3 linked regions of the Oryctolagus cuniculus genome follow. The main gene of each other region encodes a partner of the protein of the gene in region 3 in a complex. Links are inferred from orthologs where the notes say so. Each region holds a gene or a part of one and is shown on either strand. Other genes may lie near its edges. The genes, in order: E2F2, LIN52 and TFDP2.

What was found.
Region 1: TFDP2 (region 3) and E2F2 share a complex: the UniProt entries of both Homo sapiens proteins name them as parts of the DRTF1/E2F transcription factor complex. The link is inferred for Oryctolagus cuniculus from reciprocal best matches to the Homo sapiens genes TFDP2 and E2F2.
Region 2: TFDP2 (region 3) and LIN52 share a complex: the UniProt entries of both Homo sapiens proteins name them as parts of the DREAM complex. The link is inferred for Oryctolagus cuniculus from reciprocal best matches to the Homo sapiens genes TFDP2 and LIN52.

Annotation. Positions count from the first base shown.
Region 1 is NC_091438.1:147,416,254-147,419,898, forward strand, and holds part of E2F2 (transcription factor E2F2), read left to right. Parts: intron 1-21; coding exon 22-241; intron 242-1,425; coding exon 1,426-1,584; intron 1,585-3,537; coding exon 3,538-3,645. UniProt on the Homo sapiens protein: Transcription activator that binds DNA cooperatively with DP proteins through the E2 recognition site, 5'-TTTC[CG]CGC-3' found in the promoter region of a number of genes whose products are involved in cell cycle regulation or in DNA replication.
Region 2 is NC_091451.1:20,253,803-20,257,547, reverse strand, and holds the start of LIN52 (protein lin-52 homolog), read right to left. Parts: upstream 2,887-3,745; 5' UTR 2,679-2,886; coding exon 2,648-2,678; intron 1-2,647. Other genes in the region: ALDH6A1 (methylmalonate-semialdehyde/malonate-semialdehyde dehydrogenase [acylating], mitochondrial), read left to right, coding at 3,253-3,300.
Region 3 is NC_091435.1:139,716,273-139,720,017, reverse strand, and holds the start of TFDP2 (transcription factor Dp-2), read right to left. Parts: upstream 2,503-3,745; 5' UTR 2,193-2,502; intron 1-2,192. UniProt on the Homo sapiens protein: Can stimulate E2F-dependent transcription.

The sequences.
Region 1 (3,645 bases), on a different chromosome or scaffold from region 3:
GTGCCTGCGCCCCGTCCTCAGCGCCCAAGTCCCCCGGGGAGAAGACGCGATACGACACGTCGCTGGGGCTGCTCACCAAGAAGTTCATTTACCTGCTGAGTGAGTCGGCCGATGGGGTCCTGGACCTGAACTGGGCGGCGGAGGTGCTGGCCGTGCAGAAGCGGCGCATCTACGACATCACCAACGTGCTCGAGGGCATCCAGCTCATCCGCAAGAAGGCCAAGAACCACGTCCAGTGGGTGTGAGTGCCCGCGCGGGCCATGGGGCCGGTGGTGGGCGGGGCTGGGGTGCCAGTGCCCGCCAGGCTGTGGGGGCTCAGCGGTGGGCGGGGCCGGGGCGGAGAGAGCCCCTGGCTGTGAGGTCAGGGCCAGGGCCGGGGTGTGAGTGCCTGGGATGTGGGGGCCGGGGTGTGGGTGCCGGGGTGTGAGGGTCAGGGCCAGGGCCGGGGTGTGGGTGCCGGGGTGTGAGGGTCAGGGCCAGGGCCAGGGCCGGGGTGTGGGTGCCGGGGTATGAGGGTCAGGGCCAGGGCCGGAGTGTGGGTGCCGGGGTATGAGGGTCAGGGCCAGGGCCGGGGTGTGAGTGCCTGGGATGTGGGGGCCAGGGTGTGAGGTCAAGGCTAGGGCCAGGGTGTGAGTGCCGGGGTGTGAGGGTCAGGGCCAGGGCCGGGGTGTGGGTGCCGGGGTGTGAGGGTCAGGGCCAGGGCCAGGGCCGGGGTGTGAGTGCCTGGGATGTGGGGGCCGGGGTGTGAGGTCAGGGCCAGGGCCAGGGTGTGAGTGCCTGGGATGTGGGTGCCGGGGTGTGAGGGTCAGGGCCAGGGCTGGGGGCAGAGCCACTGCTGGAGAGCTGGGTGGAAGGGCAGGTGCACTCCCTGGAGTAACAGGAGGTGGGAAGCAGGATGGAGATGATCTCCAGGAAAAGCAAAGGCCTAAAAGGACCCCAGCTCCTTCCTCTTGGGTGAGGACTCCCCAGGTCCCCATCTCCTAGCTCAGGGAAGTCCCGGGAAGCTGAGAAGGCCTAACCCAGCCTCCATCTCTGAGACGTGAGGACCAGGGCCTCCTCTTCCCACTCCTGCAGGGTCTGAAAGAGCAGACCTACAGTCCCTGGCGTGGATCCTGAGAGAACCCAGGCAAGGGACTCAGGACTGGGGTCACTGTGGTCCCCTGCCCTTTGGGGGAGGCTGGGCATTAGGGATGGACCGAGTGGAGAGCCCCCCAGAAGCGGGGTTCGGGCCTCGACTTCCAGTTCCAATCCCTGAGAGTGATGGTGACCATGTGATGTACACACCCCGGGGCCACCATCATGCACCTTGACCTGGCCTTGACCTGGAGCTTCACCCCTACCTTCTCTGCAGCCCTGGGGTTGGGGGTGGGACTCTGGGTGTGGATTGACACTGACACTGGCGGTGGGGGGCTGCTCTGTTCCCAGAGGCAGGGGAATGTTTGAAGACCCCACCCGGCCCGGGACGCAGCAGCAGCTGAGGCAGGAGCTGAAGGAGCTGACGAGCACGGAGCAGGCCTTGGACCAGCTCATCCAGGGCTGCTCTCTGAGCTTAAAGGACCTGACCGAGGACAAGGCCAACCAGAGATATCCTGTGCTGTGGAGGGGCCGGCGCAGGGCCTGCGTGTGCTTCTGTCCCACCGCCTCCCAGGGCTCTGGCCATCTGTCTCTTTCTCCGTGGTTTTTCCTCTCAAGCCTGTTAGAGTTACCTTTTCATGATTCAAAATGGGACAAATACATTTTTTAAAGATTTATTAAATTTTTAAAAGACAGAGTTACAGAGAGAGAGAGAGGGAGAGAGGGAGAGAGAGAGAGAGAGAGAGAGAGAGGTCTTCCATCCCCTGGTTCACTCCCCAAATGACCACAATGGCCGGAGCTTCTTCTGGGTCTCCCATGTGGGTGCAGGAGCCCAAGGACATGAGCCATCTTCTGCTGCTTTCCCAGGTGCATTAGCAGGGAGCTGGATTGGAAGTGGAGCAGCTGGGACTTGAACCAGTACCTGTTATGGATGCTGGCACTGCAGGCAGCAGCTTTACCTGCTACACCACAGTGGTGGCCCTGAGACAAGCACACTTCTCTTTTTCTTTCTTTTTTTTTAAGGTTATTTTTATTTATTTGAAAAGCACAGTTACAGAGAGGCAGAAGTAGAGAGAGACAGAGAGAGAGAGGTTGGTCTTCCATCTACTGGTTCACTCCTCAGATGGCTGCAACAGGTGGAGCTGCACCGATCTGAAGCCAGGAGCTTCTTCCGGGTCTCCCATGCAAGTGAAGAATTCCAAGGACCTGGGCCGTCTTCTACTGCTTTCCCAGGCCATAGCAGAGAGCCGGATCAGAAGTAGAGCAGCTGGGACTCGAACTGGTGCCCATATGGGATGCTGGCACTGCAGGCAGCAGCTTTACTTGCTACCCCACAGCACCAGCCCCAAGTATATTTCTTTAAATCTGCAAAATATAGAACAAAAAAGAAGCCGTGGGCTGCCAGCCTAACACATCATCGCTTCCTTACGAGGCTCGGGGACCCTGCTGCACATTGCATTTTTTGTTCTGTTCTTCTCCAATTAATACTGTAGACGTTTGTATTTGCCATTACATATCCACAGGAAAATGCCAGTATGCAATCACGACGTACCCGTGAGAAAGCAACTTCACATGACTCAATCTCTTTTTCACCTGTCTATAAACTGACTTCAGATTGTCTTATAGAATGAGTATGTGGAACAAGTCTAGGTTTCTGCTTTCATAGAGGTGAATATCTTTGTGTGTTGGACATTGCCCCCTTATTGTCACTTATTTCCCTAAATCAGATTCCTGGGATGCAAGCAATGAGGTCAGAGAGCATGGTTTGTGCATTTTCCCAAATGGTTTCACATCTAATTGGCTTTTGGATCTAGCCTGGTATTTTTGGAAGGATGTTAGGCATTGTGAGAAATATAAAGAAGCAAATCTTCCTGTCTTCTCAGAGCTAAGATCTTTTTGAGAGGAAGCCTTTACATAAAAAATTGATATAAGGCAGCATATTTTAAAGATTTTTAATTAATTTATTTAAGAGGTAGAATTACAGACAGAGGGAGAGACAGAGAGAAAGATTTTCCATCTGCTGGTTTACTCCCCAAATGGCCACCATGGCCGGAGCTGGGATGATCCAAAGCCAGGAGCTACTTCCGGGTCTCCCACGCAGGTGCAGAGGCCCAAGCACTTGGGCCATCTTCCAGTGCTTTCCTAGACACATTAGCAGAGAGCCGGATGGGAAGTGGAGCAGCCGAGACTCAATCCGGTGCCCATACGTGTTGCTGGCACCGCAGGCGGAGGCTTAGCCCACTACGCCACAGCACTGGACCCATGGGCAGCATTTGAAAATGATGCACACCTCCTTGGGCTGTCTAAAAGTATCCAAAGGAGCTTATGACATTCAAAGAAGAGGTTACAGTTCTGAGTTATTTCTAAGCAGTGTGAGAAAGCGGGAGTCAGAGGCTTGGGCCCCGCCTGGCATCTGGGGTCTGCACTTTGCCCAGCGCTCACTTTTCTTGACTCTGCCCCTACGCTGGCCTACGTGACGTACCAGGACATCCGTGCTGTCGGCAACTTCAAGGAGCAGACGGTGATTGCCGTGAAGGCGCCGCCGCAGACGAGACTGGAAGTGCCTGACAA
Region 2 (3,745 bases), on a different chromosome or scaffold from region 3:
TATCACTGTCCACCAGAGCCCTTTCCCCTTCTCAAGTTAAAGCTCTGCACCCATGAAATAAAAACTCCCCATTCCTTTGGCTGACTCTTTTTTTTCTGACAGGCAGAGTGGACAGTGAGAGAGACAAAGATTTTTCTTTGCCGTTGGTTCACCCTCCAATGGCCGCTGCGGCCGGCGCACTGCACTGATCTGAAGGCAGGAGCCAGGTGCTTCTCCTGGTCTCCCGTGGGGTGCAGGGCCCAAGTACTTGAGCCATCCTCCACTGCACTCCCGGGCCACAGCAGAGAGCTGGCCTGGAAGAGGGGCAACTGGGACAGAATCTGGCACCCCGACCGGGACTAGAACCCGGTGTGCTGGCGCCGCAGGCAGAGGATTAGCCTATTGAGCCACGGCACCAGACTCCTTTGGCTGACTTTTAAAATAACTCCTCCCCGCTTCTTTTTCTGGCCAGAGGATTTAGCAGAATCTTGTCTGATTCTAAATATTCACAATTTCTTTTTTTTTTAATTAATTAATTAATTTATTTTTTTAACAGGCAGAGTGGACAGTGAGAGAGAGAGAGACAGAGTAAGGTCTTCCTTTGCCGTTGGATCACCCTCCAATGGCCGCCACGGCCTGCGCACCGCACTGATCCAAAGGCAGGAGCCAGGTACTTATCCTGGTCTCCCATGGGGTGCAAGGCCCAAGCACTTGGGCCATCCTCCACTGCACTCCCGGGCCACAGCAGAGAGCTAGCCTGGAAGAGGGGCAACCGGGACAGAATCCGGGGCCCCTACTGGGACTAGAACCCGGTGTGCCGGCGCTGCAAGGCGGAGGATTAGCCTAGTGAGCCGTGGCGCCGGCCCTATTATTCACAATTTCTTACACAGTATGTACCTATGCTCAAAAAGTTACAACTCAGTTAAACTTAAGGTCAAGCAAAACATTATTTCCTCTCTCTATATATTCTTTGATTCAATAAATGTTAATTGAGCCTTAAGATGCTAAATCAGGCACTGTGCTGCTGAATCCCAGGATTCAGCTGTGAACAAGACAGACTTGGAATTTATAATCTACTGTGAAAGAGGAAAAACTAACAGAATAACAATGCCATCAGTGAAGATACTGAGATATTTAAACAGGGGAGAGGGGCAACTCCAACACTGTGTTCTGGAAAAGCCTCTTTGGGGAACAACATCTAAAAGAAACCTGGAACTGGGAGAAAAAAAGTTTACATGTTTGATTCGTTTTTACATTTTCGGAAGCACCTGGTATTAACGCCTTTCATATATGTTGAGTAAGCCCATAATATTTTGACAGGATGATCGGTGTCAGATTTGGAGTAAAAATGAGGCACACATGGGAAGGCTGGTATACCTCTCTCCTCTCCTGGCACTGGGGCCATCAACTGACGCAATAATCCAGTCTTCCAATCCTCCCCTAATGGCATGCTCTGACCAAGCTGTTCCAAGATGCAGCCATTTTGTAGACCACCCCCACACAACTCCCGCAAGGTCCCATCATCTCTGCAGTGAGCCATTCAGCACCTTGCTCTGGTGTTGACCAGGGTAGCCAGGAGACAGCGGAAGAGATCTTAGGTGCTTTTTCCTACCCCCTCCTTTAGATTGCTAATCGGCCTGAGGCCAAATTGTCTTCCAGGGAAGAAATTTAAGAATCCATAATTAGGGTATTGAAATTCAAACTCAGACAACCCTGTAATCTAGATAGCAATCTCCATGTCACTCGGTAAAAAGGAAGTACTGCTTTACACTTTCATGTGGTCGTCTGACAACCTGTAACAAAACCGGTCTCATTAGTCTTTTTGATTTTTGCCAATCTTATGTCTCGTTATTGTTTCATTTTTCTTCAATGGTGTCAATATAGAATATGAAACCTCTGCAAAAAAAAAAAAACGCCCTCCCCAAGATTTCTTCCAAAAACACTCTGTGGTCGAGGAGGGGAAATTGCACATCAATGAACCTGACCTGGGGATGGGGTGATGGAAGGGCAGCCCGCAAGACCCTAGCTCTCTAGGGCAGATCGGAGCACAACAGCGCGCTGATACACCAAAACCTCGCGTCCTAGACAACATCCAGGCAGGGGAACCCGCACACACAGCGGCCCCTGCAGAGACTGAGATGTACGCGAAACTACTCTAAAGCAGAGCTCAACTGTCATTTCCTGGGGACCCTCGCGGCGAGGGGACGAAAAGGTCCCCGCTTCTCTTGCAATTCAGTCCCCGGACGGGGTCGGCCACCAACCCAGCTAGGACTTGAGGATAGTTCGATCAGTGCTCAGTGCGAGCAGAGATGATACATCAGCGGTGCACCCGGAGGAGCAGAAAACTATATATAACAAGGCACCTCCTTTCTCTCAGCAGTATCTCCTCCTCGTCCCTCAACTTCAGCCAAATAGGGAAAAAGGAGGGCCAATGAGACCACTGTCCTTCTGCCCTACGTGGGTGCTCTCCTCCACCTGCAGGGTACACAGCGGGGAAACCCGGCGCCTCTCAGCGGATGTGAAGAACCGGCGAGGTGAAACCAAGGAAAAGGGAAAGGAGAGGTTCCCGAGAAAGAAGTGTACGTTCGAGGGGCAGATGGAGAGTGGAAGTTCTCAATGGGAGCAAAGGAGGAGGTTGCAGGCCAAGGGTCTCTAAGCCGGCTCTTACCGTCTGTGGGAGACGCCATCTTCCAACCCATGTCACGTGACGTGGCCAACCGTCGGCGGGAAAGCGAGGACCCCTAAGCCACGCCCCCAAAGCGAAACCCTATCGCCAACTCGCAGCCCAGTCTCGTTTCTCCTCCCCATAGGACAGTCCTTGCCTAGCCCCGCCCCTAGCGACAGCCCTGCCCCTCGTGCTGTTGCGGAGGCGGAGCGACTGCAAAATTCTTGGAGGGTCTTATTTACTTTCCTCGGTAGGGGGTGGAACCCTGGTCGTGGCTGTAGCCAATCAGAACTCCAGGTTAGGGGGCGTCTCCCCTCCGTGTCCAATACAGAGTACCCAGGTAGGGGCGTCTTCCCTACCTCCGCCAATAGAATTCTCTGAGGTGGGAGGGGGCGAGAGCGCTTTCGCTTTTGACCAATCACATATCCGCAGGAGCAGGCCTGCGGGGGTGGAGTCAGGTGTTTTAGAGAGTGATTGGCCAGAGGAAATGCTCCTCTCCACGAATGAGAAGGTCGGGCAGGATGGAGGGGGAGGCCTGGCAGCTGTAGTGTTTCTGGCTAGCGCGGGCGGTGGAGGCTGGGGGAGCGTAGAAGAGGCGGCCGAGAACCATGGCGGCGGTGGTGGTGGCGGCGGCAGTGCGGGCCCGGATCCTGCAGGCGAGTGAGGGTGGCACCGAGGGACCACGAAGCTGGGACTTGGATGCTTTCCGTCCACTCTGAGCCATCCTCGGGCGGGACCGACTTCTTGGCCCAGCCCCCTTCTTGGCCGACCCTGGTGTTCCCCTCCCAGCCCAGCGGCCTAGTTTCCTCCTTCCCCCACCCCCACCCCGTACCTCCCCTAGTCTGGATGCCTCCCGGGACTTTCACCCGTTTACTCCGGGGCTTCCTGCTTGTTGGCTCTCGCCCACCGTCCTCAGCCCTACCCGGTCCCTGCTGCCACTCTTGCTGTCACCTCTCGGCCCGCCCACTGCCTTTCCCTGTCACTTCTGCACCAGCCACTTCGTTTTCTCGCATAAACTCCCCTCTCTTAGAGCTCTTTCGCCCGCCAGGAGCGTCCAAATGGCTCCCTTTCCCCACCCGTGAACCGAGGTAAGGGAGGGAG
Region 3 (3,745 bases):
AAACATGCAAATGTACGTAATTTTGCAGAAAATTTCTGGGGGGGGGGCAGTGCTGTGGCGTAGCGGGTAAAACTGCTGCCTGCAGTGCCAGCATCCCATATGGACGCCAGTTCGAGTCCTGGCTGCTCCACTTCTGATCCAGCTCTCCACTACGGCCTGGGAAAGCAGTAGAAGATGACCCAAATCCTTGGGCCCCTGCACCTACACAGGAGACCCAGAAGAAACTCCCGGTTCCTGGCTTTGGATCAATGCAGCTCCGGCTGTTGCGGCCAATTGGGGAGTGAACCAGTGAATGGAAGACCTCTCTCTCTGTCTTTCAAATAAATAAATAAATCTTTAAAAAAAAAAAGTTTCTAAGGGTTCACAAATCTACTTCTAAATATACTAGAGTGTTACGGATCCCAGATTAAAATGGAAAAGACTCAAGTATGAATTGATATATTAACAATTTAATAATCTTTAAAATCTATTACAACTTAAAATTCTGATCTCAAAGAACTCTCAACTTATGTTTTCTAGATTCCTCTGAGATTTACTATGATACATGTTACAATAAGCATTTAAGTGATGATGGCTTACAGGGGGTATAAACTCCATTTCAAGTCACACTAAAAGCACAGAGCCCAGATAAGCATTTTGGCCACAGTGCGAATACTTCACTGTGCTACACATTCCAAAGAAGGGGTCTGTGGTGGTGGGGGGGTACAACTGCATGATCACAAAATGGTCATGCCACACACTAGCGAAATTCAGCTTTCCTTCTTAAACAAACAACTAGAAACAAAGAGAACTCGAAAATAAGAGTTGAGTAAGTCTTGGGCCTTTCTGTACAAGTACCACACTGCTGCAACTGTATGCCAGGGCAGTGCTCCCAGCCATGATGGCTGCCATTAGACCAGACCAGTTCCAGGCACAAGATGTTCTACCACACAACAAACACAGCCAGTGCCAGTGCCCAAGTGCGATAGAATCTGGGGTCTGGGTATTTGATTTTTCTCCTGGTGCTATTTGAGAGTGGACACTGTCATTAAAGATTAATTATAGTAATGTGATAGCGATAAAGCTTTCGCTAAACCATAGGCCAGCCAACGACATGGAACAGCAAGATGCAACACAGATTCAACTACTCTGATTCTGAACAGAGACAGGTAGGGTCATGATTATGTCCTTTTAGAGAACAGGTGAATAATTCCAATTATATTTATTAGGCAAAATGACTAAGATGAAACCATTAAGAGAAAAGAAAAACAAGTGACCCAGAAAAAATTAGGTAATAGAAATCAAAGGAAAAGTCATGAAACTAAGATCTGGGGGAGAGGGGAGAAGGCGGAAGAGGGAAGATGGGGGGAGAGGGGAGATGGGGGAGAAGGAGCCACGCACCCACTGAAGCAAGCAAGCAGGTGGCAGAGGGCGTCTGAGCCGTCTGCGAGGGAAACGGAAGAGGAGAGCGTTCCGGGCTTCGGCGGAGCTTCGGCGGTGAGTGGGCAAGGGGCAGAGAAAAGGATCCTCTCGCGAACCCGCGCTCGCGGCAGTCAGAAGCGAGGGTGCCCACCTCGTGCCCTGCGCTGCCGGGCGGCGAGCTCGCGCCCCGGGCGTCCCTGACCCAGGCGGCCCCAGACTTCCCTCGGCGGCGGCGCCCACGCCGAGGTCCCCCAGCTCGAGCAGACGGAGACCTCACAACGCGAGCGCGCGGCGTCTCGGCGCGGTCCCACCCAAACCCTGCCGCTGCCCGGCGGACGGGCACCTCGGCTCTCCGGGATTTCTCCAGCCGTCTGGGCCCACAGAGCAATGCCAAAGTTCCCTTACGGGGCACAGGTACACACAAAGCCTCCCAACTCTTAAAAACAACAACGAAACCCTGGCGGAGGCAGACGGGGGGTCGCGAAGCAGGGGGCAAAGTCAGCAGCCAGAACCCGAAGCCATCGCTCCCTACGGCCAGGACGGGAAGGGGGAAGACACCCTCTGCCCGCCTCGCCGAGGCGTGACTCAGGGACCTCACCTCCCCCAGTTTGCAGGCTGCGCGAGGAAGGGTGACCTCCCTGCCTGCCCAGTCTCGCCCGGACACTCAAGGGTTACTCCGCCAGGCCTGAGGAGCCCGTGGGATTCCCGGGGGTCCCCCGGCGTACGCAGCGCGCCGGGCCGGGTCCAGAGGCCCTCGGCACGCGGGCCCGCGCCCTCGCCCCGGACCTTACCGCCGCTCGGCTGCAGAGGACCCGGCGGCCGCGCGAGGCTGCAGGGCCGAGCCGGGGGCGCGTCTTCGGGCGCCGCCGATCCTCTGGCGCCCGGGTCCCGGCGGACTCCCACCCAGGCAGCCGCGGCCTTGCCCCGGTCGAGGCCCCCAGGAGTTCGAGGCCCCGGCACGCCGACCTCGCGCCCGCGCGCGCCCTCAGGGCTCGGTCAGGGCGCGCCCCGCGTGCCGGACAGCGGCCGCACAGCAGCCGAAAGCGCTGCCGACTTCGTCAGCCCGCACTCGGCTCGGCGGCCTCCCCGCTTCCCCCGCGCGAGCTTTGGCGGCGGAGCAGCACGATGCACGGCCATTGGCCGGTGAGAGGCGTGACGTAGGGCGCCGCTCCCCACGGATTGGCCGGTCCCGGCGGTGCGTGCAAAGAGTAAACAAACCCCGCCCCCAGGCTGCCCAATGATGGGAGGGGGCACGAGAAGAAGAGGCGGAGCCTTTAAGCGCCGCGCTCCGACCCCTGAAGTTTCTCCCGGGCTGCCCAAAGGGTAGGTGGCGGTGGCCCGGGCTCTTGGTTCCAGCTCCGATTGCTGGACAAGCTGTAGGCCTGAAGCCTAAAGTTTAGAAACACGCCCTTCCCTCTCGCCCCTAACTCCCCCACGAGGTCCGCCCACGAAGCAGGAAGATCGCAGCTGTTTGAGAGGCGGGAGAAGTGGGGCAGGTGCATCTGGATCCTTCGCATTTGAGGAGTCGCGGGAGTAAGCGGTGAGGCAGTGCTTGGGGCCAGCCGTGGAGCGCCTTGAAAGTATTCGATGAGTGAGAGACTCCTGGGGAGTTGGAGGTTCTTCCCTAGCCAGGCGAGTTAGGATCCACACAAAGCCAGGCCGCCTTGCCCCGGGGCTGCCCGCTTCCCCAGACACCTGTTCCTGTAGGGTCGGTAGGTTAGCGTTACAAGATTGTGTCTGTTCGTTTTCTGCTGATTTGGAAAATTCCGCGTGGACCGAGCTGTGGAGGTTGAGAGAGGAGAGAGAGATGGGAGCTGCCCTGCTGATGGAGTGAGGTGTGAGGGCACAGTGTTGCAACGATAGGCCTTTCTCATTTCGCTCTGCTCAAATTTTATAAATCGCCCACGTGCGGAACACTGTTCCAGGTGCTGGAGATACCTCTGTGAACAAAAAGAGACAAAAACTGCGTTCGTGGAGCCCGCATTCTAGTGCGGTGGGAAAGACGACAGCTAAAGAAATAAGCAAAATAAAAACGATGCTACCTGCTGATCTGAGCTGTGGAAAAACAGTAAGCAGAGTGTGTGTGGGAGGGATGGCTTCAGCCTTAAGCATGGTGGACAGGGAAGGAGATCCTAAGGACGCGTTTAAGTAAACACATAAAGGACTTGAGGGAGACAGGAGATCACCTTTGGATCTGGGTGCGGTGTCGAGACACTGGCCTGCCACATCACAGTAGGGAGGTGAAGTCCTCGGAGTCCAAGAATGCCGGATGCTGCCTGTTGCTGATTGACTGTGACATGCAGATCCCCAGAGGAGTGATTACATTTTCAGCCACAAATCCAGA